Linked DNA regions of Canis lupus familiaris. The protein of the gene in region 6 purifies or fractionates together with the protein of the main gene of each other region. This does not show direct contact. Links are inferred from orthologs where the notes say so. Each region holds a gene or a part of one and is shown on either strand. Other genes may lie near its edges.

Region 1 (4,147 bases), on a different chromosome or scaffold from region 6:
AATCCAGCCAGAGGGCAGGTCTATTAGGGCCTCTCTCAGGAGAGAAAGCTGGTGGCCTAAGGGCAGGAGTTGGGCAGGGACGCCTGGCTGGCTCAGTGGGTGCTTCCTACCTTTGGCTCAGGGCGTGATCCCAGATTTCTGGGATCAAGTCCCACATCGGGCTCCTTGCATGGAACCTGCTTTTCCTCCCTCTACCTGTGTCTCAGCCTCTCTTTCTGTGGCTCTCGTGAATAAATAAAATCTTAAAAAAAAAAAAAAAAAAAAAAAAGGAGCTGGGCACAGGGGATGACAGGGAGCTGGGCAGGGTCTCACCTCTCCCCCAGGTAGTCCCCGATGGCGGTCTTGTTCAGGCCCTCACCCTTGTACAGAAAGCGGGCGATTTCTTCGGGTGTGTTCTGCAGAAGCTCATTCTCCACCAAGAACTGGATCCCCTGGTGGGTGGGGACCAGGTCTCAGCCTCAACAGCCAGAAAGCCACGCCCCACCGCCTCCCCAAGGACCTCAGCATCCACCCCCAGCCTGGACAGAACTGGGTCAAGTCTTGTTTTGGGGCTTCACAGCGGTCCCTAAATACCATCCCTTCCGCCTCAGAGCCTTCACACCTACTGTTCCCTCTGCCTTTGCCTGGTTAGTCCAGCAGCAAGGGCAGAGTCCCACAAGGAATAGGAGCCCAGTGAGTTTGCTGAATGTGTGACAAACTACAACTGCTTTGGGCTTCAAGAATACCGTGAGACACTGTTAGTAGGCAGCAGCATGTCACGGGCTGTGAGGGCCAAGCCTCAGGATGGATGGGGCCTTCTTGGCTCACCCTGGGCCAGGAGAGCTACACCTAACTCTGGAGTGTGGCAGCCATGTCTAAGGGCTCATCAAAGGCAAGGTAGGGCCAGCTCTTGTCCTGGGTCTCCAGCCCTGCCTAGTACACGGGCAAGCTCGAGGGAGGCCACAGAGAATGTGTGAAATGAATGACCTAGTAAACAAACATCTCTCTGCACCAGGTGGACACTGACTCGTCCTTCAAACCGGACCTGAACATCCTCTCCTCGAGAAAGCCCTAACTTTACGAAGCTCCCCCATGAAGGTCCACAGCCCTGGGATCTCTGTGAAGTGGCACTGGTCAACCCTCCTTTGGGCATGTCATGGTCCATGTTCCCTACCACACTCGAGCTACTCCTGAGACTCTAGGTGGCACCACAAGAGGGTCCAGAAATATGAACAGAAAGGGGAAGGGAGCCTCCCAGGCAGAGGACACAGGACACACAAAGGTCAGGAGGCGGGGACACCTCCGTTAGTGTTCAGAAAACAAATGGACTGCCAATATCTGAATCCCGGAATTAGAGCCACATGTGTCCACCTCAAGTAGATCTAGAACCTGAAAGTGCCAGAAGCCCCTGTCTGGATGTCTGCCTGGCCGATCCCAGCCCTGTGACCCAAGCACCTTCTTGGGATCCATGTTGAACTTCTTCCTGCCCATTGCCATCTTCCGGTTCCGTTGCAAGGTCTTACTGCAGGAGAGAGCAAGGGATGGAGGCTCAATGCCTGGACGTCCCTGGCCTGGCCCCATGATCCCCAAGTTCCCCACCCCAGCCCTCACCTGCCCTCATTGGCCTCCAGACCCTCCACCTCGCTCATGGCTTCACTGAGCTCCTCCCGAAGGCGCTGGATCTCCACCAGCAGCTCCTGTTTCCGCCGCCGGATGTTCTCCAGCTCCATCCGCTCCTCCGGAGTCAGGTCTGGGGGCTCTGTGGGTCAGGGTCAGGGGTTGGAGGTCAGTTCTGGGGGCTGGGAACCTGGATTCCTGCAATCTGGGGGAGGACCGAGCTGGGGTGGGCAGGACTAGGTTGCAAGGGAGGATGAGGATGAGGATTGGGCCTCCTCTGTCTCCTGGAAGAAGGGGCTGGGAGTCTAGATTTCTCAGCCCAGACAAGGAAGGGCTGCGGATCTAGACTCTTAAGTCCTGGGGCAGGAGGAGGCTAGGGGTCAGGACTCCTGAGTCTGAGGCAGAAGGGGGCTGGGAGGCCGAACTTCCGGGTCCATTACTTGGAAGGGGAGTGAGGCCTTGGTTCTCTGCCTCCATTCCTGGCGAGGCAACTGGGAGCTTGGGTGTCCGGACTCCTGGGTCCATGAAAAGTAACTACGGCAGGGAAAGCTGGTGACAGCTCCTGAGAGTTGGGGAAGGGGGGCGGGGCATCGAAGGCCCCCGCCCCGCCTTCGCGGGATCCCCGCAGCCCCCAAGATTTCTCCCCAGCCAAGCGCCCCAGAAGCCCCCCTCCCGGCTCCCAGCAGGCACTGGGCTCGCCCGGCCCTTCCAGCGGGAATGGTTCCGCCCCGGCCGCGCCTCCGCCGCTCCATCCCGCCCCTCCCGCCGCCACCGGAAACAGGCTCGGCCCACACAATGGCCTGGAACGCCCTGCTCTCGGGCCCCGCCGGAAGCCCGTTCCGCGCCCCACAAAAGCGAGGCTTCGACGGGGCCCCAAGGCGCCGCGCGGCGCGCGCCGGGAGGGACGTTCGCGGCCGAACGTTCCAGTCCAAACGCTCCATCCGCTCCCAGCCGGCCCCGCCCCTCCCTGACCTACCATAGACACCGTCCTCCATGGCGGCTAGGAAGGCCCGCGGGGAGTCCGGGGCGGTCCCGCCGGTCGGGCCTGGATCCGCGTTGGCCCGCGGGCTCGGGTGAGCCCGCTCAAACGCCCCGGGAGCCACCGCCGCCTCCTCAGCGCCAGTCCTCAGCGCTGAAAAGACTCTCCTTTCGCCTCCCAACCGCCCCGCCGATAGGGACCGCCCCTCGTTTTGACACCGCCCAATCCATGGAGAGCCCTCTCGTCTGCCCCGCCCCCGACCCCGAAGGATCGTCCTCCAGGACCAATAGGCGCACAGGGAACAGACGTAGCACCGTCCGGGCGGAGATAGACGGGCGGTAGGGCCAATCGGAGTGCGGCCAGGGAGCCAGGCCCCGCCCCCGAAACAAAAGAAGGTTTGTGGCTGGCGTGCCCGCCAATGAGAAGACTCGGAGAGGAATTGCATGGAGGCGGGACCGTGCGCGAGCCGAGAGGACGGCGCCTGCGCAAGGGCTCTGGAAGGACGCTAGGCCAGTCGACCCCGCCTCTGGTGATAGGTTGCCGGGGAGCGGTACTTTGTTAGTCTCGTTGCCAGGGGGCGGCGCCACAACTGTCGGCTGTTTCCGGGAGCCACACCTCCGCGGCCGGCGCAGCAGGCTTTTGACCGCAGCGGTTGCCAGGCAACTGGGAGCCGCTTTGGCCCGTCGTTTGGCCTCCTTCCTCCCCTTACTGGCCTCTCTGATCTCCAGATCCTTTCTTTAACCCCTCTCAGGACTTCCCCAGCCACTTCAGCCTCTTGCGAGCCGAGGGGTGGTGAAACAAAGACTTTCTTTCTACGCTATTGGGTATCTGTCATGCAGAGTGGGACATTTGGGGAAGGCTACGCCTTCCTGACGCCTTCTGCCTCTCGAGTTCCTCCCTCTCTCCCTCATACTCCTCCCCTCACTTTAGCATCCTTCCCCTAAAACGGCTCCTCTTCCTCAACATCCTCCCACCTCTCCGGTTCCTTCCTCGCTCACAAAGTCCTTTCCGTCCTCTCTGCCTCCCCTCCCTTCAGGTTCCCCCTCTTCTTAAACTCCTCCCTCCTCTCGGAGTCTCCCCACCTATGATACCCTTCTCTCCCCTCCCCCTCCGCCCCAGCCTCTCATTTCCATTCCTTGCAGAAAAACCAAGTGCAGGCAGCTGGCCCGAATGGAGCACCCGGGCATCACTGTCATGGGTGGGTCCCTAACTGGGTCTCAGGTAGTGACTGGGCCTTGTCCTCATTTGCCATCCCTGGGCTAGGCAGGTGGGGACAGATTCAGGGCCAGGACCTGGTTAAGCTGACAGATTAGACACGGAGCCTCTTAATCTCCTCCCTGACCTTTATGAGTGGCCTGGGTCTTGTCCTCCCCTCGTGGAAAGCTAGGGTGTGCCAGCCTGGCCCCACTCTTCTTCCTTCCAAGCAGAACCCCCCTCCTGTCCCTTCACCCCTAACTTAACATCCTTCCCCATGCCGGTGTTTCCATTACCCTCACCCCTGTCCCTACCTCAGACACCTGCACTGGGAGAACAGCTAGCTAATTAATCCCATCCGGTTATTAAGTGGGGGAT
Region 2 (4,039 bases), on a different chromosome or scaffold from region 6:
GAGATGGGATAGATGGTCATGCCATTCATTGACAAAGAGACCACACAAAGAAAAACAACCTTGATGGGAAAAATAAACTGATGTGTTAGTTTGGGGCTGAAATAGTTTGTGTTGAAGTCTGAGATTCTTCTAAGTGCATACAAAAATGTTGAGGGCCCATTATCTGCTCTCATAGGTACTAGGAATGTGCTGGGTAATGAGAAAACAGGTGAACAAAACAGATGATTCGAATCTTATTGAGCTGACAAGTGAATCAAATAAACGATATAGGGCAGTCCCAGTGGCCTAGCAGTTTAGCGCCGCATTTGGCCTGGGATGTGACCCTGGAGACCCCGAATCGAGTCCCATGTCGGGCTCCCTGCATGGAGCCTGCTTCTCCCTCTGCCTGTGTCTCTGCCTCTCTGTGTGTCTGCTGTCATGAATAAATAAATAAAATCTTTTTTAAAAAATAAACGATATAAAATGTAATTTTAAACTTTGATAGGGGTTATGTAAGAAATTATAAGACATTTACTAGAATGTAAACTAATGTAGTTTAATGTTTACTCACGTCCTTAATACGGTCCTGAGAAGATTCCCTCAAAGTGCAATTTTTGGGTCTACAGATCTGTTTTTTTTTTTTTTTTAAGATTTTATTTATTTATTCATGACAGTCACACAGAGAGAGACACAGACAGAGGGAGAAGCAGGCTCCATGCAGGGAGCCCGACGTGGGACTCAATCCCGGGTCTCCAGGATCGCGCCCCGGGCCAAAGGCAGGTGCCAAACCGCTGCGCCTCCCAGGGATCCGATCTGCTTTATTTTTAAAAAACTAAACATACACCTAACTCTGAGAAATGAACAAGGGGTAGTGGAAGGGGAAGTGGGCGGGGGGTTGGGGTGATTGGGTGATGGGCACTGAGGGGGGCACTTGGCGGGATGAGCACTGGGTGTTATGCTATATGTTGGCAAATTGAACTTCAATTAAAAAAAAAACAACTAAAAAAAAAAACTAAAAAAACCATAGAGCTAAAAAATAAAATAAAAAAAACTAAAATAATAAACTACATCTTTTGGGGCAGCTTGAGGTTTAAAAATTTTTTTAAATTATCTTATAGGCTTTGGGGAATGAGAGAGGATACTAAAAACACACAAGGACTCTGGTTTCTTAAGTTCCCTTAGGGCATCGGGCATAGACTGATAAAATAAAAACTACATTTCCCAAGGAGCAGCGCGACACGTCACAAAGGAAGGACGGCGCATGCGCGGAAAGGTTCGCGCTGCGACTAGCTCGTAAAAGGGAAAAAGCGTGTGTAGTTCTCGACGTGCCGCGAATCTTCGAACGCAAGCGCGTTACGGTACTCAGACTTTGAAAAACATTCGAGGGACGCGCCCGCGGCTGCCGTCGTAATTTCCAGCTCGACGTGCCTATTCCGTGGCTTGGCAGGTGGGGATGGGTCGCAGTCTGGGGCCCCCGGGGAATGGCGGGAGCGGAGGGCCGGGGTCGCCCTCGGTACGTCCCCATTCCCGGGCCTCGCTGGGGCAACTCTCGGGGGGCGGTGCGCACGCGCCCTGGGCGGGGAGAGGCGGGGCTCGGGGAGGGGTGGGGCTGCGGCGGCGGTCTTTGGGCTCTGCGCATGCGCTGGCCGGCGCGGCGTGGAGGGGAAGCGGGCGTTCGCCGTGCGGGGCGCAGAAGCCGCAGAGGCGGCGGAGGCGGGGTCTTCAGCTCAGGTGCGAGAAGACGGCAGCGGGGTTGAGCCCCTTCTAACGAGACAACTTCATTCGCCCTCCGGAGATTTCCAGTTGCCTCCTCATCTCTCGGCGCCCGTTTGCAGCGTGAGGCTTCAGCCTTAGCTGGCGCCTCATCTCCAGGTCTCTTTCGAACCCGCTCTAGTCTAGGCCCCCAGCGCTCCACTAAAATAGCACTTGGTGGAAACCGCCAGTGACCTCTCGGTCGCCAAAGCTAGTGTTCAGTTCGTTCTCACCTCTGTAGCAATGGCTGATGCGCTTCATCACTGCCCTTTCTTGAAGCACTTCTTCGTTTGATTTGTAGGACATTCTCTTCAATTTTTTTTAAAGGTTTTATTTATTTATTCATGAGAATACACAGAGACGAGAGAGAGAGAGGCAGAGACACAGGCATAGGGAGAAGCAGGCTCCACGCAGGGAGCCCGATGTGGGACTCGATCCCCGGACTCCAGGATCACGCCCTGGGCTGAAGGCGGCGCTAAACCGCTGAGCCACCCGGGCTGCCCAATTTTTTTTTTTTTTTTTAATATTTTATGTATTCATGAGAAACACAGAGAGAGGCAGAGACCTAGGCAGAGGGAGAAGCAGGCTCCCTCCCTGCGGGAAGCCTGATGTGGGACTGGATCGCAGGACTCTGGGATCACGACCTGAGCCGAAGGCAGACACTGAGCCACCCAGGCCTCTTAAACATTCTCTTCTTTAGCTTCAGCTCTCTGGTTTCTCCTCTGCTGATTTCTTGTTCCTCGTCCCTATCTTTAATGGTTATACTCCCCCGCCCACGCCCTCATCCTAAGCTCTTCTTTGTGTCCACTTCCTAGGAGCTATCCATTTCAAAACTATTTTCTTTTTAAAAATATTTTCTTTATTTATTCTTGAGTGCTAGAGAGAGAGAGGTAGAGACAGGCAGAGTCTTGTAGGCTTCCTGCAAGGAGCCGGAGGCAGGACTCGGTTCTGGATCCCGGGATCATGCCATGAGCCGAAGACAGACGGTCAACCGCTGAGCCACCCAGGCGTCCCTATTTCAAGGCCTTAAATAGAAATACTATCTATTGTGCTCTCAAATGTCAATCTTCGACCCAGTGCTCTACCTCCAAGACCAGATTTTTATATTCAGCTTGCAAATGACATCTCAAAGTGTCGAGTCGGCATCTCAAACATGTCCAGAACTGAAATTTTGAGTTTTACCCCTCACATACCTTCACCACTTTCCCCAGTCTTCCCATTTTTCCAGTTGTTCAGGCCAACTCAGGCCAAATACTGATATATTCTTGGTGTTTTTTTGCAGCCTGGCCCTGCCCCCCCCCTTTTCCTTCTCCAGTGTATTAGTGTGTATGTGCCCTTAAGGCTTTGAAGTTTCACTACTGAGTGTTCTGTGGATATTCTCTTTGGCACTTGGTCATTTTTGCCTGAGAATTTGTGTTTTCCGTTCTTCAACATTACCTGTCATCGTTTATTCAAATTTATCCATGTATCCTGTTTTCTATGTCCTTTATAAGGTATTTACTTCACCTACAAATAAGTATATGGAACTACTTGTTTAATGTCTGTTCCTTTCTGGACTGTGAGTTTTGTAAGCAAGACAGGGACTCTTTGTCTCATTCACTGATGTATATTTCTCATTCCTAGCATAGAGTAGGTATTTGACAACTATTCATGAGTGCATTTATACAGGGAAGTATCTATAATATCAACTAATTGGGGTACCTGGGTGGCTCAGGTGGTTAAGCATCTGACTTTTGATCTCAACTCAGGTCTTAATCTTGCAGTCATAAGTTTGGGCCCTACATTGGGCATAGAGCTTACTTTTTAACCTGCCCCCCCCCAAAAAAAAAGGGGACAATTTTTTTTTTCCTGGGGTTGGAGGGAAGATAGTGAATAGCCCAACTTAAGAATTGTTGAGAGACTATTTTAAGAGATTTCCAGGATTCAGTTTGGTTCAGTAATGTATTCTGAAGACTTAGTAGGTGCTAGGCCCTGGGCTAGTTTCTGGGAATATAAAGACGAATACAACTGCATGTCAGTCTTCTAAGAGCTCGTGGTCTGCAGGAGAGATAAGTAAGTGAAACAGTCTCTCAATGTATGTGTGACAATGCAAGAACAGAAGTTTGTATACCATGCTTTGAAAGTTTTGACTGCCCTTGGCATCAGGGCAGATGAGTGGGGCCTGGGGCAGCCAGATCCCCCTGCCATTCTTTTCCAGCTGTGAGCAGCTTTGCCTTTTACCTGAGTGTGCCACACAAATGTTACCAGAAATATTTTGTACTGTGTGTGCTGTGGTGTGAGAAGGTTGGCAAGTACAACTCTTGAAGTG
Region 3 (3,998 bases), on a different chromosome or scaffold from region 6:
CCTCCGGGCCCCAGCCCGCAGCACGTTCAGCAGGCGTTAGCTTGAGTTGAACACCCAGGGAGGACTCCAGCCTTTTGGATGAAGGCAGCGTACTCAGCACTACCTTTATTAAGACATCTGAGTGGGGTGTGTGTGACCGGTCGCTAGAAAACGGGGGGCGGGTGGGCTGTCTCAGGTTTCGGGGTGAGGAGGCCCGGGGAGGGGCCACCCGGGGCCCCGAGTTCAGTCTCTTCCCGGAGCAGCGGCCGTGGGCACTGAATCCTCTCACCGGCGTTCACGGCGAGGACTGCAGAGGGGACAGCCAGTGCCCTCCGTGTCCCAGAGCTGCGGAAGGACCGGCCTGCCTCCAGTCTTCATGCCGGGTGGCTTGTCACTGGGGCTCATTCTGTCTCCTTGGTGGTGCCGGCGGGGACCCCTGCTCTGATGCTTTGCATGGTGCTGCCCTAACCCCGCCACGCCGCCTTCCAGCCGCTGCATCCTTAACCGTCCTCGTCCTCCCCGTGCCAGTTCCCACGATGCGCCGGTGTAGGGACAAAGGTCAAACCAGTTCTAGTATTAAGAAAACCATCTCAGAAAATAAGAAAGAAGTATTGGCAGGTATCAGCAGAGCATGGCCCACTCTGTGTAGATCATGAATTTCCCTCTTTTCTCCCCATATATGTTCAAAACGTAATTGAATTTACTGGCAAAAATGGCCAATTGTAAACCTTTAAACAGCCTCCTCGTGTAGCCAGCAGAGGGCAGCACAGACGGCATTGACTGCATCATGTATTTTTTACTTTATTTTAAAAGGCGTCTAAAACTACTATGCCAACTACTTTCCGTACAGTTTGTCTTCTTCTTCTTCCTTTTTTTTTTTTTTGTAAGATTTTATTTATTAATTTGATAGGAGAGAAAACAAGCAGGGGGAGAAGCAGAGGGAGAGGGAGAAGCAGGCTCTCCGCCAAGCAGGGAGCCTGATGCAGGACTCGATCCCAGGAGCCCGGGATCATGACCTGAGCCCAAGGCAGATGCTCAACTGCTGAGCCACCCGGGTGACCCCCTCATTTGAATTTTTTGTAACACATATGTATTTTCTTTGTCCTCAGCCTTTTAAAAATTTTTCAGTTATATTATTTTTTATTTTTTGGCAAGATCCATTCCTGTTTGTGAGGAAAAACAGTACAAATCTGTATTTTTCAGGTAACCCAAGCAGAAGTAACTTCCCAAAGAGTTTGCAGTACTGCCAGGTGCCTGTGGATTTTCTTCTGCAGAGGATTGACGTCTTTGTCACCCTCCAGCCCAGCGCACAGCTGCTCTTCTGGGAGTCTTAGGACACTCGCATGGTTCTATGCCCCATGCCACTCTCGCCCTGGCAGCTCATCAGGAAAGATCTCAGCTGCAGAGGAGGGGTCCATCAGGAAGCAAAACCACTTACCCTCACATCCCAGAAAGGCTGCAGGGCTCCGTGGGCCTCTGTGAGTGGAGACAAGGGGTGAGGGTAGGGATTGGATGAGGGTGGAAGGTGTTCATGGCAGGCATGAAGGCTCTCAGGTCCCCTCCCCACATCCTGCAGCAAGGCAATGTCTCCTCCACTTTTGGTGGAACACAAAGGTTTGATTTCTGGAGAGCGCTATGGCGGCACAGGGAGAGTGAGCAAAGGTGTGTGTCCTTCGGTGTGGCCGTCCCACCCTTTCTCCCTCCACCTGGCGGCCCGGCTGCTCTGCCCAGGTTTGTAGCCCACACAGCCCAGGAAGGAGGTTGGAGGATGGCTCTTCAGGCTGATGGGAGAGAGAACCCACGGAGCCCCTCGCGGTCCGCGTGTTACCGCTTTCCTGCTTTAAGGGAGACCCAACGCTCCACAGGCCGCACCCACCACACGCCTTCTCACCAGGCTGCTGGTGCTGGCCCTTAGATGTGGAGGGACAGCCCACATCTTCACATCTGCTAGTGTGTGCCTGTCCTCGCCAATGTGCCGGCGTTTGAAAAGATGTTTGAGGAAACAGATTGTAGCAGGGCATTTTAAAAGCCACATACCTAGGAGTCTTAGATGTGATGTATTAATAAAACAAGAATAGGATGCTATCCAAAAGGAACATTCGGAGATTAAGAGTGGGCTCATGCGAGTTAAAAACAGCCAAAAGAAAACAATCCAGAGACTGGAAGATGAAGTAGAGAGCTGCCCCAGGGCAGGCCGTGACAGCACCACACACTGGGTGGTGTCTGCAGCGCTCTCTCGGGTGTGAGTGCTGCGGGTGTGAGACGGGGAGTCTGAGCAGGGCCGGCATCGGTGCTTCTTGCTCCCAGCTCCCTTCCTGGCCCCCAGGAGCCTGTCGTCCTGCTGTGTGCTCTCAAGGTATGAGGTACAAGGAGAGCCAGTTGGCCTCACTGGCCTCTTCCTGGACGGCCGCCAATCCCACACATGTGTGCTCCTTCCTCACGGCTTGATTGCCTCCCAAATGCCATCACGTTAGGGTTTCAGCACGCAGATCGGGGGTAAACGCTAACATTGAGTGCCTTGCAAGAATACTTCCTAGAAAGTGGTTCCACAAGGAGATGAAAAGTAGGATTCACAGTGGAGGTCCAGCGTCTAACAGAAACTCTAAACGGTGAGAGCTGAGAAAAAAGGGTAGGACATCATCAAAGATTATGAGACTTGAGAGTTGGGGTCTGCCTAGGGGCTAGCACAGTGTGTGCAAACGGACCCACACCTGGACACTGTGTTACAAAACCACACAGCGCCAAGGGTGAAGACCCTGAAAGCCTTCAGAGCAGGAAGATGGTCCCATAGAAAATTCTGGGGTTGGAATGGCACGGTCACTAACAGCACTGTGGGAGCAGAAGGCAGTGAGGGAATGCCTTCGCCATCGTGAGGAAGCGATTTTAACTTACAGCCCTGAATCCAGCCAGAGTGCCAGTCGAGTGTGGGAGGAGGACAGGGGTATTTCTGGACATGCAAAATCCACAGCAGTGATGGAAACCCATCCCTCGTGTCCTTCTTAGAGGATATGCTCTAGCAAAAGAAGGGATCCAGGAAGGAAGCACGGAATGAGAGAAACGGGAGGCGGCGTTTGGAAGAGGCAGAGGGAATTGCCAGGGTGCTGCTGTGAAAGCAGCAAGGCCGGGCCGGGAGGAGTGTGGAGGTTTTTGGAGGGCTGACCCAGAACTGGGTTGCTCCTGTTGACAGCGTCATACCTGGTGGAGAGAGCTTGGCTTTCCATCTGTAAGGCAGAGAGCTAAGCACACAGACACAAAGGAGACACTTCACGCCACTGCGTGGTAATTTCAATCCTAGTACGTTGTGTAGCTAAGCTGTGAGCAGTGTTTATGGAAGTAATAAACACTGATTTAACCCAAACCTCACGTGTAATTGTACGGAGCGTGTGTCAGGGCGGGGAGGGTGGGGGTCAGAGCTGAGTCTTCCTCTTCCATGGCAGGCAGTTGCTGCCCAGAATTGAGGACTCGGGAGCAGGTAGTGTGCTTGTGATGTGTGGAAGCAGGGAGGTAATCAGCAGAACAGAGAGCTGAAGGAGCCTACCTCCACGGAGCAGGATGCGAGCGTGGGGGCTGCAGTTGGGCAGGAAACTGTGGGTTGCTGTTTTAAGCCATAGGTACTGTTTGTTTTTTTATGTGATGTGTGCACGTTATTTTGGTTAAAGAGGAAACACTAGACACAAGGGGTAAGAAAAGCCTGGGGGGGCAGTGGGGTCGCATCCAGGAGGGTCTTGGAGCTATGATGAGGAGCTGAGACCTCGAGGCAGCGGATGGGGCCGTCGCAGACGTCCTTACCCTGCCGAGTGGCTCCTGGAGCTCGTGCCTTGGCGTGCAGCCCCCCGCCTGTGCCGTCGGCCCTCTCCGTCCTGCTGTTGTGGAGGCTGCCCTGCCTGCTGGCCTCCACTGGATCTGTCCAGGAGGCTGGAGAGTCCGAGGAGAATGAGGTCAGGGGGTCTTCTCCCTGCATGGTGGCTGAGGGTTATCCGGGCCCTGTCCCAGGGCCTGTCCGGTAGCCCCTGCAGCCG
Region 4 (3,500 bases), on a different chromosome or scaffold from region 6:
GAAATATCTTTCTTTTGAGATGATTGAGAAATTCTGTGCAGTGGACTTGGACTGTGTTTGCTTTCTTTCCCAGGGACGACTTTAATATTAAAGTTCTCCAGGCGTTTGTCGAACTCCATGAGTTTGCTGATCTGAACCTTGTCCAAGCCTTAAGGTAAGTGTCAGAGTCTCGGCTGTTAGCGGGGAGGTGCTGGAGCAGGAGGCCGGGGCTCACCCCCAGAGGAGAGGGTGTTGCCCAAGGGTCTGGGTAGGCGTTCACGGACCGAGCTTGTGCTCGCCTTGGTGGGACCGCTGGGTGTGCGTGCCGTTCCCCACTCCTTTGCTTCTCCCTCATCTCAGTTGGTACTCAGTAGTCAGTGCATACTTTCTTCCCACTGCTGCAGCAGAGTCTTGGGGCGGCCTAGGCATGGGTCTGCTTCCTGGGGCATCTGATCTCAGATGCCTGCCTCGTGGACGCCCCAGCGTGGGTGGGGAGCGTGTGGACGGCCTGCTGTCAGAGGCTGCCCTCTAGTCCCTGCCTTGTCCAGGCAAAGCCAGCCATCATTACATGTCATAGGGGTGAATGCAAGAGGATGGCCCTTGTGTGGCCCTGAGGTTTTGCCGGCCACCATGGTAGAGGTGCCAGGTCATCCCTCTGGATGTCCACTCGAGGCATCGTCCTGTACACTCTGCTCTTCCTGCACCACCAAGAGGATCCGGTTTCCTTCCTGGTGTCCCAGCTGAGGCTCCGATGGCTGTCCCCCAAGCCAGGGCCATGCAGTCTCCATTGCGACTACTTCCTGCTCTGTGGCTGCAAAGTGTGTGACTGACCATGTTTCTGTCCTGCTCTTGGCCCTTGTCCCCATACGGCTTCCGCAAGTTGCACAGAGCTGGGGGTGGCTTTGCTGTCTGCCATTTGTCCTCTTCGGTGCCTCAGCTGGCCTGGGCTGAAGGAGGTGCTGACAACTCTGCAACACAGAGACACAGGCCTGGCGAGTCTGGGGTGTGGTCATGGCAGCCAGGGTTCCCTTTCTTTTAGCTGGTCAGTCTCTGGATGGAGCCAGGGGTCCCCGACGTGCTCCTGCGGGTGGTGCCGGCTGTCCCTGGGTGGACAGTTGAGGGCAGCAAGTGGCGGCCGCCACGTTGCTCCTGCGGGTCCTGGGGCTCTGCCCCCAGTGCCTCCCTCTGCCATCCAGGGGCTGCCTGGAGCATTCCCTGGTTGGGGGTCCTCTAGAGGGAGAGACACCATCATCCCCTGGTGTTGGTGTCTTCGCAGGCAGTTCTTGTGGAGCTTTCGACTTCCGGGGGAGGCTCAGAAGATCGACCGCATGATGGAGGCGTTTGCGTCCCGCTATTGCCTGTGCAACCCGGGCGTTTTCCAGTCCACAGGTCGGTGAGGGTTGGGCCCCAGCACTGTGCGCCTCTGCCGGGTGGAGGGGGTGCCTCTGGCCGGGCAGGCGGCTGAGCGCCCCGGCTCCCTCTGTCCTCTTTCAGACACCTGCTATGTGCTGTCGTTTGCCATCATCATGCTCAACACCAGCCTCCACAACCACAATGTGCGGGACAAGCCCACGGCTGAGCGCTTCGTCACCATGAACCGTGGCATCAATGAGGGAGGGGATCTCCCGGAGGAGCTGCTGCGGGTGAGCTTCCCTCTTCCACGGAACTGGCCCTCGCCCCTCAGGAGCTGCCACCGCCGCCCCTTAACCTTCAGGCACCTCGTGGCCCTGGTCCCGCTGAGCCTGGCGCCCTCGGGGACACAGTGCTGACTGGGCCCTCCCCACCCCTGGCCCCCGGCTGCATCCCTGAGACCATTGTCCCCGTGCTCCTCGCAGAACTTATACGAGAGTATCAAGAACGAGCCGTTTAAGATCCCCGAGGATGATGGCAATGACCTGACACACACGTTCTTCAACCCTGACCGTGAGGGCTGGCTCCTGAAGCTGGGTGAGTGGCGGCCAGCAGGTGGGCCCCGCGCTCGGAGCCCCCAGCCCTCGGCCCCCAAGGCCCCCGACCAAAGGCAGAACCGCTAGAAGCAAGGGCTGTTGGGCCGAGTCCGCCCACGGTAGCCGGCCGCACGCCCCAGACTTGATGGCTGCTGCTTTGAGCCCTGCCCTGTCCGAACGAGGCCATCTTGTCAGTGTCCACGGCAGGAGAGTAACGCCCGGGCTGCACGAGCGTCCGAGAAAACTGCTCACTTAGCATCCAGATAGACCCAAGCAGTTTTCTGTACCAGAGGCAGGTGCATTTACTGCGAGAACCTGCGTGCCTTTCTCTTGGTTTGGTGTGGCTGATTTTTGATGAGTGGTTTAAATGTGCCTTCTTGTTTTCCTTCTGCCTGTGGCTCCCACCTTTCTGTTCTGTGACGGGCTGTCCCTGCTTGTTCTGCGTTAGGAGGTACGTACCCAGTGGCTTCCTGCCCCTTCCCCAGCTGCTCATTCCTCTCTCAGTTTCTCTCCCCCGTTGGTCTGTGTGAAGCTCTGATTTGTGGCTGCCATTCATCTGACCCATGTGGCTTTGGACTTGCCGGGGTTAGCTTCATGCAGGGTGCAGCGAATGTGACACCTACACCTCCGGGGCCGGGCGAGGCATGGCTGGAATGCCAGCCTTTCTGCGCCCGGGAGCGCATGGGAATGCCGTGTGGGAACGAGCTTGCCCCTCAGTGTCCTTAGGGCCTGAGCAGCCACGAGACTGCTGGTTGCCTGCTCCATTCCCGTACATCACCGGTTGCCTCTCATACTAACCAAACAGCGCATGTTTGCACCACCCTTGGACGGAATCCGGAAATGTTTAAAAGGCTTCCTAACCATTGACAAAGAAGTACAGAAACATTGATATTTTCTGGGCAATTTAATGAATTGTTAGGGTGGGGTGTTTTGTTTTGTTTTTACTCTGGGGAGATTGGGATTTCTGCCTTACTGTGACATGAGAGCCTGTGAGACGTGACAACTGTGTACCATCCGGGCACTCTGAGAACATACTGTAAGACATCAAGAAGTCCGGCAACTTTGTGTTTTTAATCAAGTGTGGGTAAGAGGCATGAAGGTGTGTGCTGGGGCTCAGCCATTCTGATTTGGGGTCTTGCTCTGACTTCTCTGCCTGTGCTGCCAGTTAGGGGAGTTCTAGATCTTTGTCTGCAAACTCAGAGCCCTAAGCGTGGACTTGAATGCTTTCATGGATTTCGAGATGCATCTCTGAGGTCACGTCACACCTGTGGCCCTGGGGTGAGGGCAGAGGAGGGATGTGTCTGACACACCAGCAGCTGCACTTGGGTCCCTCCTGTTCCTGCACGGCCAGGGAATGCCCCTCGTGTGACGGTGACAGTGACAGTGCAAGCCTGCCTGGCAGTTGGTGTAGCCTCAGCACCAGTGGGAGATGCTCCTGCTTCTAAAGACAGAACAAAATGAGGGAGGTAAAGGCACAGCAGGCCTTATTTTCCAACCTGTGTTCTGGTTGTACATGTAAGCAGTGCCCAGAGCACCCTTAGGGGCCACAGAGCTGGCTTGGGTGCTGGGTAGGTG
Region 5 (2,589 bases), about 32 Mb from region 6:
TATAAAGTTCCAGAAACACTTTATTTAAAAATGGAGTTGTAAATGCATAACAAAATAACATAAGTAATAAATGTAACAAAAATAAATAAGGAGGAAATGTATTCATACAAAATAAAAATAACATAGTAAAAGGCCAAATGTTTATAATTGAACAAAACGGTGTAAACACTTAAAGGATAATGTAAGTAGAGTAGATGCTAATATTTTCCTAAACAACTCCTTACCTTCTACTTCCATGGGGATATAATCAGTACCCAAACATTAAATAAAAGAGAGAGCAATGGTGATTATTTTGTTTGACTTTTTCTTCAAATGGACTGACCCTGTTTTAATGTTTCACTTCCTCCTTCAAAGCATTTTTGTATCATTCCATTCATGTTCTTTAAAACTTTTTTTCAGTCTTCCTTTATTAAATAGAATGGAGAAGTTAGCTTTACAAGGAGAATAGTTCATTTACCTTTTTTTTAATTTAAAGAAAAATATGAGATTCATTATACAACAGTCTTTTGTTTTTTACATCTCTATAAAAAGGGTTTTTTTGTGGGTTTTCTTTTTTTTCTTTTCTTTTTTTTTTTTGCATCTCTATTAACTGGCCCAACATTACAGGAGTTTTTAAATCTTGTAAAGTTTTGATACGTCCAGAGTTAGTCTCTTGCAACCAATGTAGTAAAGGATTATTGCTGAAATACTAAAGACCATTCGTAAAAGTTGCAAAAACTGCAGTATTAATCTTTATAGACTGATAGGGTCAAGGGGGAAATCCAAGTCTACTAAGTAATATTTAAAGGAATTAAGATTCGCCCAAATTATAGTGTTCTGGAAACACAAAGATAATTACTTTCTTTTAAAACTTATCCAAATGTGAACTTACTGGAAGGAGAAAACACAAGTTTACAGAAGGTACTTTTCCACAGGCTTCCTGTTTAGTGGCATAGGCCTGAGCCTTCATCATTACGGTCTTGCAGGGTCCTTCTAAATGTGTAAGACGGACAGGATTTACTACTGGGTCCTACTGGGGAACACACAGAAGCAGTTCATTGCTTGGGAGTGAAACTATCCACTAATCTTATGACTACTGGTTCTCCAAGTCTCCTAAAGAAGCAAATCTTAACCTCATGATCATCTCAAGGGGATTTTTTTTCAACTGTCACATATAAACTTGGTAACACAGGACCAATATACATGTTCTCAGTTTAAAAAATATACTCCACCTAAACAGTCTAATCTGTCTACTTATCATCTGCTCTAAAATGAGACAAAAATCTTACTTCCGTTAAAAAAAATTTTTGAAAAAAGTGCCAAATTGAGCATTTTGAAAGTGGAGTAAAACACCGAGGGGTTAAAACAAATACAGTATTATCAATATCCTATATACAAAAAAGACGGTTAGTCCTTCCTTATTGATATACAGCTATGTCCACCTACCACTCCCGGCAAATCTTAGTGCAAACATAATAGTTCATCTCCGTAAACCCCAAGACAATTTACGTAGCAACAAAGTTATATAAATCACATATATGCTGGAAAATTTCAGAACACAAGAACGACTGTTTTGAAAGGTCAGGACTGTGGAGAGTAATATGTCATTGTATCCAATGGTAATGAATACTAATATAAATCCTATTATTAAGAAGTAAATATAAGCGTTTAACAAATCTGTACAGATGAAGAGGAAGTCCATTTCGGGAGCAGCTTGGCACAGAAGACATGGGGGTCAGAAATGTTGGGTATTTAATTTGCTTGTAGGTCACAGCATGGCTTAAAGAAAAAAAACAAAGATCTATGAAGGGAAAGGATGCAATGAGAGAATTCAATTTGAAAATCATAAAACCACAAAAGGCGAAACTGCCACAATCTGCTTTTTCCTATATGTGCATCACGTAGTTTTCTAATGGTCTGAAGGATTAATAGGATACCACATTATAGGTAAAAAATAAATAAATAAAATTAAGAAGACAGAGAGAACAAGATTGTAGCTGATCAAGCGGTCTTGTTTTGTTAAGTCAACACTATGCTGCTTCCAGTATTCCTAGTCATCCACAGGTACTGGTTTTTAAACATCGAGAGAAAGTCACTCATGTACTGTAACGTCTTCCTCTTCCCCATCAGGGTTGAACCTATTGAAATGGATACTGAAATCAGCCTCAGACTCGGCATTCTCAAATTCAGCTGACACTGAGATAGCAGCAGGATGGGGAACCCTAGCTTCTGGCGGGCAAAGTGTCGGTGTCTGACCCGGGCTGCTGTGGTTATTCACGGGAGACTTCTGTTTTGGTGGAGATGGCAAGATAGCACTGGGGAATCCCATGTTGTTCAAAGCCTCCAGAGTTCCATCTGGGTCAATCATCGCATTGATTGCTGAAGGGAAAACAAGAATATGGGGGAAAAAAGATAATTGTAGATGCAGTTAAATTTGGATGTAAACACTGCTTATGTCTTGGATAATATTTCAACTACTGATGCTTGTATGAGCTTAAATTTGGCTAATCCCTTTTTTTTTAAAGATTTTATTTATTTATTCATGACACACAGAGACAGAGAGAGAGAGAGAGGCAGAGGCACAAGCAGAGGGAGAAGCAGGCTCTATGC
Region 6 (3,500 bases):
GGAGGGGCTGCAGTTTTTCCTAGATGGCCCGGCCTGGAGGTCTGATCCTATCTGGAACAGGTCTCCGCACTTTTGGCCCTAGTGATTACTAAGAAGTAGAAAAATCTTATCTGGCTACTAGAAAGGGCCTCTCAGTGGCCTGAGTCTGTGGGCCTAGTCCTGACAGAAGAGAGGAAAGAAGCAGCACGAATGTGGGTGAGAGAGAAAGAGAGAGTGGCAGAGAAGTGGAGGAGGGGGATGAGGAGGAGGACGGGGATGACGGGAGGAGATGGGGGAGGCAGAAGAGGAAGGGAGGAGAGGGAGGCAGGAGAGGAGGAGGGGAGAGGTAGAGGAGGGAGAGGAGGAGGGGGATGAGGAGGAGGGAGAGGTAGAGGAGGGAGAGGAGGAGGGGGATGAGGAGGAGGGAGAGGTAGAGGAGGGAGAGGAGGAGGGGGATGAGGAGGAGGGAGAGGTAGAGGAGGGAGAGGAGGAGAGGAGGGGGATGAGGAGGGGGAGGAGGGAAGGAGGAAGGGGAGGAGGGGGATGAGGAGGGGGAGGAGGAGGGGGAGGTGGAAGATGAGGGGAACAGGGAGGAGGAGGAAGAGGAGGAGGGGGAGGAGGGGGGCGAGGAGGAGGAGGGGGAGGAGGGGGAGGAGGGCCGGCGTGGTGCTGGCGGCGGGGCTGCCCTCCCCTGGCCCGGCGGGCGGCGCGAGGCTGTGCCCGGGCGAGTGTGCAGCTGCCGCGGCGCCCGGGACCGCAAGGGGGCGTGTGGGGGCGTCGCGCCCGGAGCCGGAGCGCCCGCGAGCCGCCCCCCTGCCGCCCCCTGCCGCCCCCAGGCCCCGACAGCCCGGTGTCCCCGCTGAAGGAGCTGGCGCCCGCGGGCCGCGAGCAGCAGAGGGCCCTGGAGGCGCGGCTGGAGGCGCGGCTGGAGGAGCTGAGGAGGCTGTGCCTCAGGGAGGCGGTGAGGGCTGGGGGGGGCGCTGGGCTGGGGGGAGCCCGCTCCCTGGGGGGCTGGGCCGGCGGTGGGCGGGCAGGGGTGCGGGCGGCGAGCCGGCGGGCTGACGCGGCCTCCCCGCAGGAGCTGACGGGGCTGCTGCCCGCGGAGTACCCCCTCAGGCCCGGGGAGAAGGCGCCCAGGGTGCGGCGCAGGGTCGGGGCGGCCTACAGGCTGGACGAGCGGGCCCTGCGCGGAGAGGTGAGGCGGGCAGAGGCGCGGCGCGGCCTGCGGGGCGGCTCCTGAGGCCCGGCCGCTCCGCCCCGAGGCCGGCCCCCCCCCCCCGGGCACCCCCAGGAGGGCGGGGCGGGGCGGGGCGGGGCGGGGCGGGTGCTCCGGCGCCTGACCCCGCGCCCCGCAGGACCCGCTGGGCGGCCTGGAGCGCGAGCTGGCGGTGCAGCGGCAGATCGCGGCGGCGGCGCGGCGGCTGTGCGGCGAGGACCACCTGAGCAGGCAGGCGCGGCGGCAGCGGAAGCACGCGGTGCAGCGCGAGGAGGAGAAGCTGAGGGCGCTGCAGCGCTGCCTGCGGGAGCGGAGGCGCTCGGCCGGGGCGGCCCCCGCCGCGCGGGCCCTGGGCCGAGGTGAGCCGCCGCCGCCCCCTCCCGTGGCTCCCGCGTCCTCCTCGAACCCGGGAAGGGCCGCCCCTGAGGCGCCGCGCCGCGCTCCCGCAGGTGCCCCGGGCCTCAGCTTGGGCCTCAGCTGCAGAAGCCGGGCCCCTCCGGCGCGGGGTCGGGGGGAGGCGCTGCCCGCCGCCTCGGCGCCCAGGCCTACTGGGGGACGCTTAGCTGCAGACCGGCACCCCCTGCCCTACCGTGACCCCAGCCTCCCCCCGTGGCCCGGGGACCTGGGGCCGCAGCGTGCGGGGAGTGCTCCCTGCCCAGGACCCGCCGCTGCCGGACACCCTCGCAGCCCGGTCACCCTCCAGCAAGCGGTTCTGAGCCCTTGGGTGCGCTCACGCTGTTCTCAGACCCAAGCCCAGCTGCTTAGGTGGCCTGGCAGCCTCCCTTCCGGTTCCCAGGGCATCGTGCCCATGGCTGGCCCCGACCCACGCCTCCCGTGGGGCCCGACCTCCCGGGGTGGGGAGCGGTGGCCTGGGACAGGGCAGGATGCCCAGGCTCGGGTGGGCTCGGGGGATGGTTTCCTTCCCCCCACCCCAGGTTCCTACCCCTGCACCTTACGCTGCCTTTTCCCTGAGGCTGCTCTCCTCCCTTGGTTGGGGATGCTCGAATGTAGGGTCCCCCGTGCCTTGGACAAGGGGACGCGTTCAGCACAGGTCTCAGGAGTCCCCGCCGCCACAGGTTGTCTCTAATGTAGAGGGGAAGGGTGTGACCAGACCGCCTGCCAGGTCACCTCCAGCAGAGGCAGAGGGCCAGGGAGGAGGTGCCTCCCCGTGACAGCTGATCCAATAAACAGGGGAAGGTGCCCCCGCCCGACCCAGGCTCTGATGGCAACACTTCTCTGGGTCGACTGGCTCTGGCTCTGGCTCTGGCTCTGGCTCGGCCGGCTGCAAGACAGCACTTCCGGGCTCCAAGACCCAGATGGGAAAGTTCTCCGTCCTCCCTCTACTCTGACTGGGTCCCAGGACTTGACCCCTACGCCCCCTCCCCGCCCCCTTGAAAGGAAGCTATGGACCTGGGCACAGACAGTCCCTGAGGGCTCACTTGCTCTGCTGGGGGGGGGGGGCTGGCAGGGGAGGGAGAGGGCCCGTCTCTATTTGTCTCAGCCCCTTCTGCATTCCCCTCCAGCTGGAAATGCTCAGGCCTGCAGGTGGTGGGGTGGGGGGCGGTGGGGGGTGTTCCTCTGCGGCTGCCACTGCCACCAATGACGCTTCTTGCGGGGGCTGAGAGCAGGTCAGCACACGCCTGGGGCTTTGGTTAACCCTCTGGGGGGAGGCAGGAGGTTCTGAAACCTTCTCGGGGTGCTCAGCTCAGGTGAACACAGAGCTGTAGAGAAGAAACATGGTGTAGCGTGGCCTTTCGCCCTCCAGACCAGAGCGAAAGACCCTGCGCTCCCCACCTTCAAACCCTGCCTTGACCGTGGGGCCTGAGGTCTGGGGCTCTGATGTCCCTCCTTGGGAGCCTAGCAGGCGGCGGCTCTAGCAAGTGGTTCCATCCCTGTGGCATCCCTGCCCAGCGAGCTTCCCCTGGAAGGAGGAAGTAGGAAGGGATTAATAATTAGTAGCTGAAAGGTGTTTTGAATTAAAAAGAAAAAAAGCAAACAAGAAAGAAAGAATAAAAAGAAAAAGAAAAGAGAAAAAGCCACCCTGCCCCCTTGGTCTCCACACAAGGCTTATTCGATTTAGAATAATTACTAATTATGCAAGGTGGGAGTAATTAGTACCCTGCAGGTGGCAGGAGCAGGCAGGTGCTAAACTAATTTATCACAGTGAACTTAAGGAGAAATTCCCCTCAACACACACCTGATTGTCCTAGGTGCTCAGGATGCGTTTGTTGACTGACAACACCTGCCCTGAGCAATGCTGTCTACTAGAATGTCTTCTTTTTTTCTTTTAAGAGATTTACTTATT

The links.
Region 1: the proteins of INAVA (region 6) and CYTH2 purify together in Homo sapiens (co-immunoprecipitation; 3 studies listed by BioGRID and IntAct, counting the BioPlex papers as one, with this or other methods). This does not show direct contact. The link is inferred for Canis lupus familiaris from reciprocal best matches to the Homo sapiens genes INAVA and CYTH2.
Region 2: the proteins of INAVA (region 6) and SGF29 purify together in Homo sapiens (co-immunoprecipitation; 3 studies listed by BioGRID and IntAct, counting the BioPlex papers as one, with this or other methods). This does not show direct contact. The link is inferred for Canis lupus familiaris from reciprocal best matches to the Homo sapiens genes INAVA and SGF29.
Region 3: the proteins of INAVA (region 6) and CYTH1 purify together in Homo sapiens (co-immunoprecipitation; 3 studies listed by BioGRID and IntAct, counting the BioPlex papers as one, with this or other methods). This does not show direct contact. The link is inferred for Canis lupus familiaris from reciprocal best matches to the Homo sapiens genes INAVA and CYTH1.
Region 4: the proteins of INAVA (region 6) and CYTH3 purify together in Homo sapiens (co-immunoprecipitation; 3 studies listed by BioGRID and IntAct, counting the BioPlex papers as one, with this or other methods). This does not show direct contact. The link is inferred for Canis lupus familiaris from reciprocal best matches to the Homo sapiens genes INAVA and CYTH3.
Region 5: the proteins of INAVA (region 6) and CEP170 purify together in Homo sapiens (co-immunoprecipitation; 3 studies listed by BioGRID and IntAct, counting the BioPlex papers as one, with this or other methods). This does not show direct contact. The link is inferred for Canis lupus familiaris from reciprocal best matches to the Homo sapiens genes INAVA and CEP170.

The regions. Positions count from the first base shown.
Region 1 is NC_049222.1:108,474,275-108,478,421, forward strand, and holds the start of CYTH2 (cytohesin-2), read right to left. Parts: upstream 2,801-4,147; 5' UTR 2,592-2,800; coding exon of another isoform or gene 2,576-2,591; coding exon 2,573-2,575; intron 2,131-2,572; coding exon 2,037-2,130; intron 1,739-2,036; coding exon 1,591-1,738; intron 1,502-1,590; coding exon 1,435-1,501; intron 432-1,434; coding exon 313-431; intron 1-312. UniProt on the Homo sapiens protein: Acts as a guanine-nucleotide exchange factor (GEF). Promotes guanine-nucleotide exchange on ARF1, ARF3 and ARF6. Activates ARF factors through replacement of GDP with GTP.
Region 2 is NC_049227.1:18,372,763-18,376,801, reverse strand, and holds the start of SGF29 (SAGA-associated factor 29), read left to right. Parts: upstream 1-1,239; 5' UTR 1,240-1,426; exon of another isoform or gene 1,427-1,491; intron 1,492-1,656; exon of another isoform or gene 1,657-1,710; intron 1,711-1,716; exon of another isoform or gene 1,717-1,851; intron 1,852-4,039. UniProt on the Homo sapiens protein: Chromatin reader component of some histone acetyltransferase (HAT) SAGA-type complexes like the TFTC-HAT, ATAC or STAGA complexes.
Region 3 is NC_049230.1:3,507,908-3,511,905, forward strand, and holds the start of CYTH1 (cytohesin-1), read left to right. Parts: upstream 1-1,198; 5' UTR 1,199-1,330; coding exon 1,331-1,457; intron 1,458-3,998. UniProt on the Homo sapiens protein: Promotes guanine-nucleotide exchange on ARF1, ARF5 and ARF6. Promotes the activation of ARF factors through replacement of GDP with GTP.
Region 4 is NC_049227.1:11,644,696-11,648,195, reverse strand, and holds part of CYTH3 (cytohesin-3), read left to right. Parts: intron 1-73; coding exon 74-154; intron 155-1,255; coding exon 1,256-1,368; intron 1,369-1,473; coding exon 1,474-1,622; intron 1,623-1,814; coding exon 1,815-1,926; coding exon of another isoform or gene 1,927-1,927; intron 1,928-3,500. UniProt on the Homo sapiens protein: Promotes guanine-nucleotide exchange on ARF1 and ARF6. Promotes the activation of ARF factors through replacement of GDP with GTP. Plays a role in the epithelial polarization.
Region 5 is NC_049228.1:34,209,951-34,212,539, forward strand, and holds the end of CEP170 (centrosomal protein of 170 kDa), read right to left. Parts: intron 2,359-2,589; coding exon 2,072-2,358; coding exon of another isoform or gene 1,999-2,071; 3' UTR 1,759-1,998; coding exon of another isoform or gene 1,748-1,758; 3' UTR 501-1,747; downstream 1-500.
Region 6 is NC_049228.1:2,036,754-2,040,253, reverse strand, and holds part of INAVA (innate immunity activator protein), read left to right. Parts: intron 1-815; coding exon 816-940; intron 941-1,057; coding exon 1,058-1,174; intron 1,175-1,334; coding exon 1,335-1,554; intron 1,555-3,500. UniProt on the Homo sapiens protein: Expressed in peripheral macrophages and intestinal myeloid-derived cells, is required for optimal PRR (pattern recognition receptor)-induced signaling, cytokine secretion, and bacterial clearance.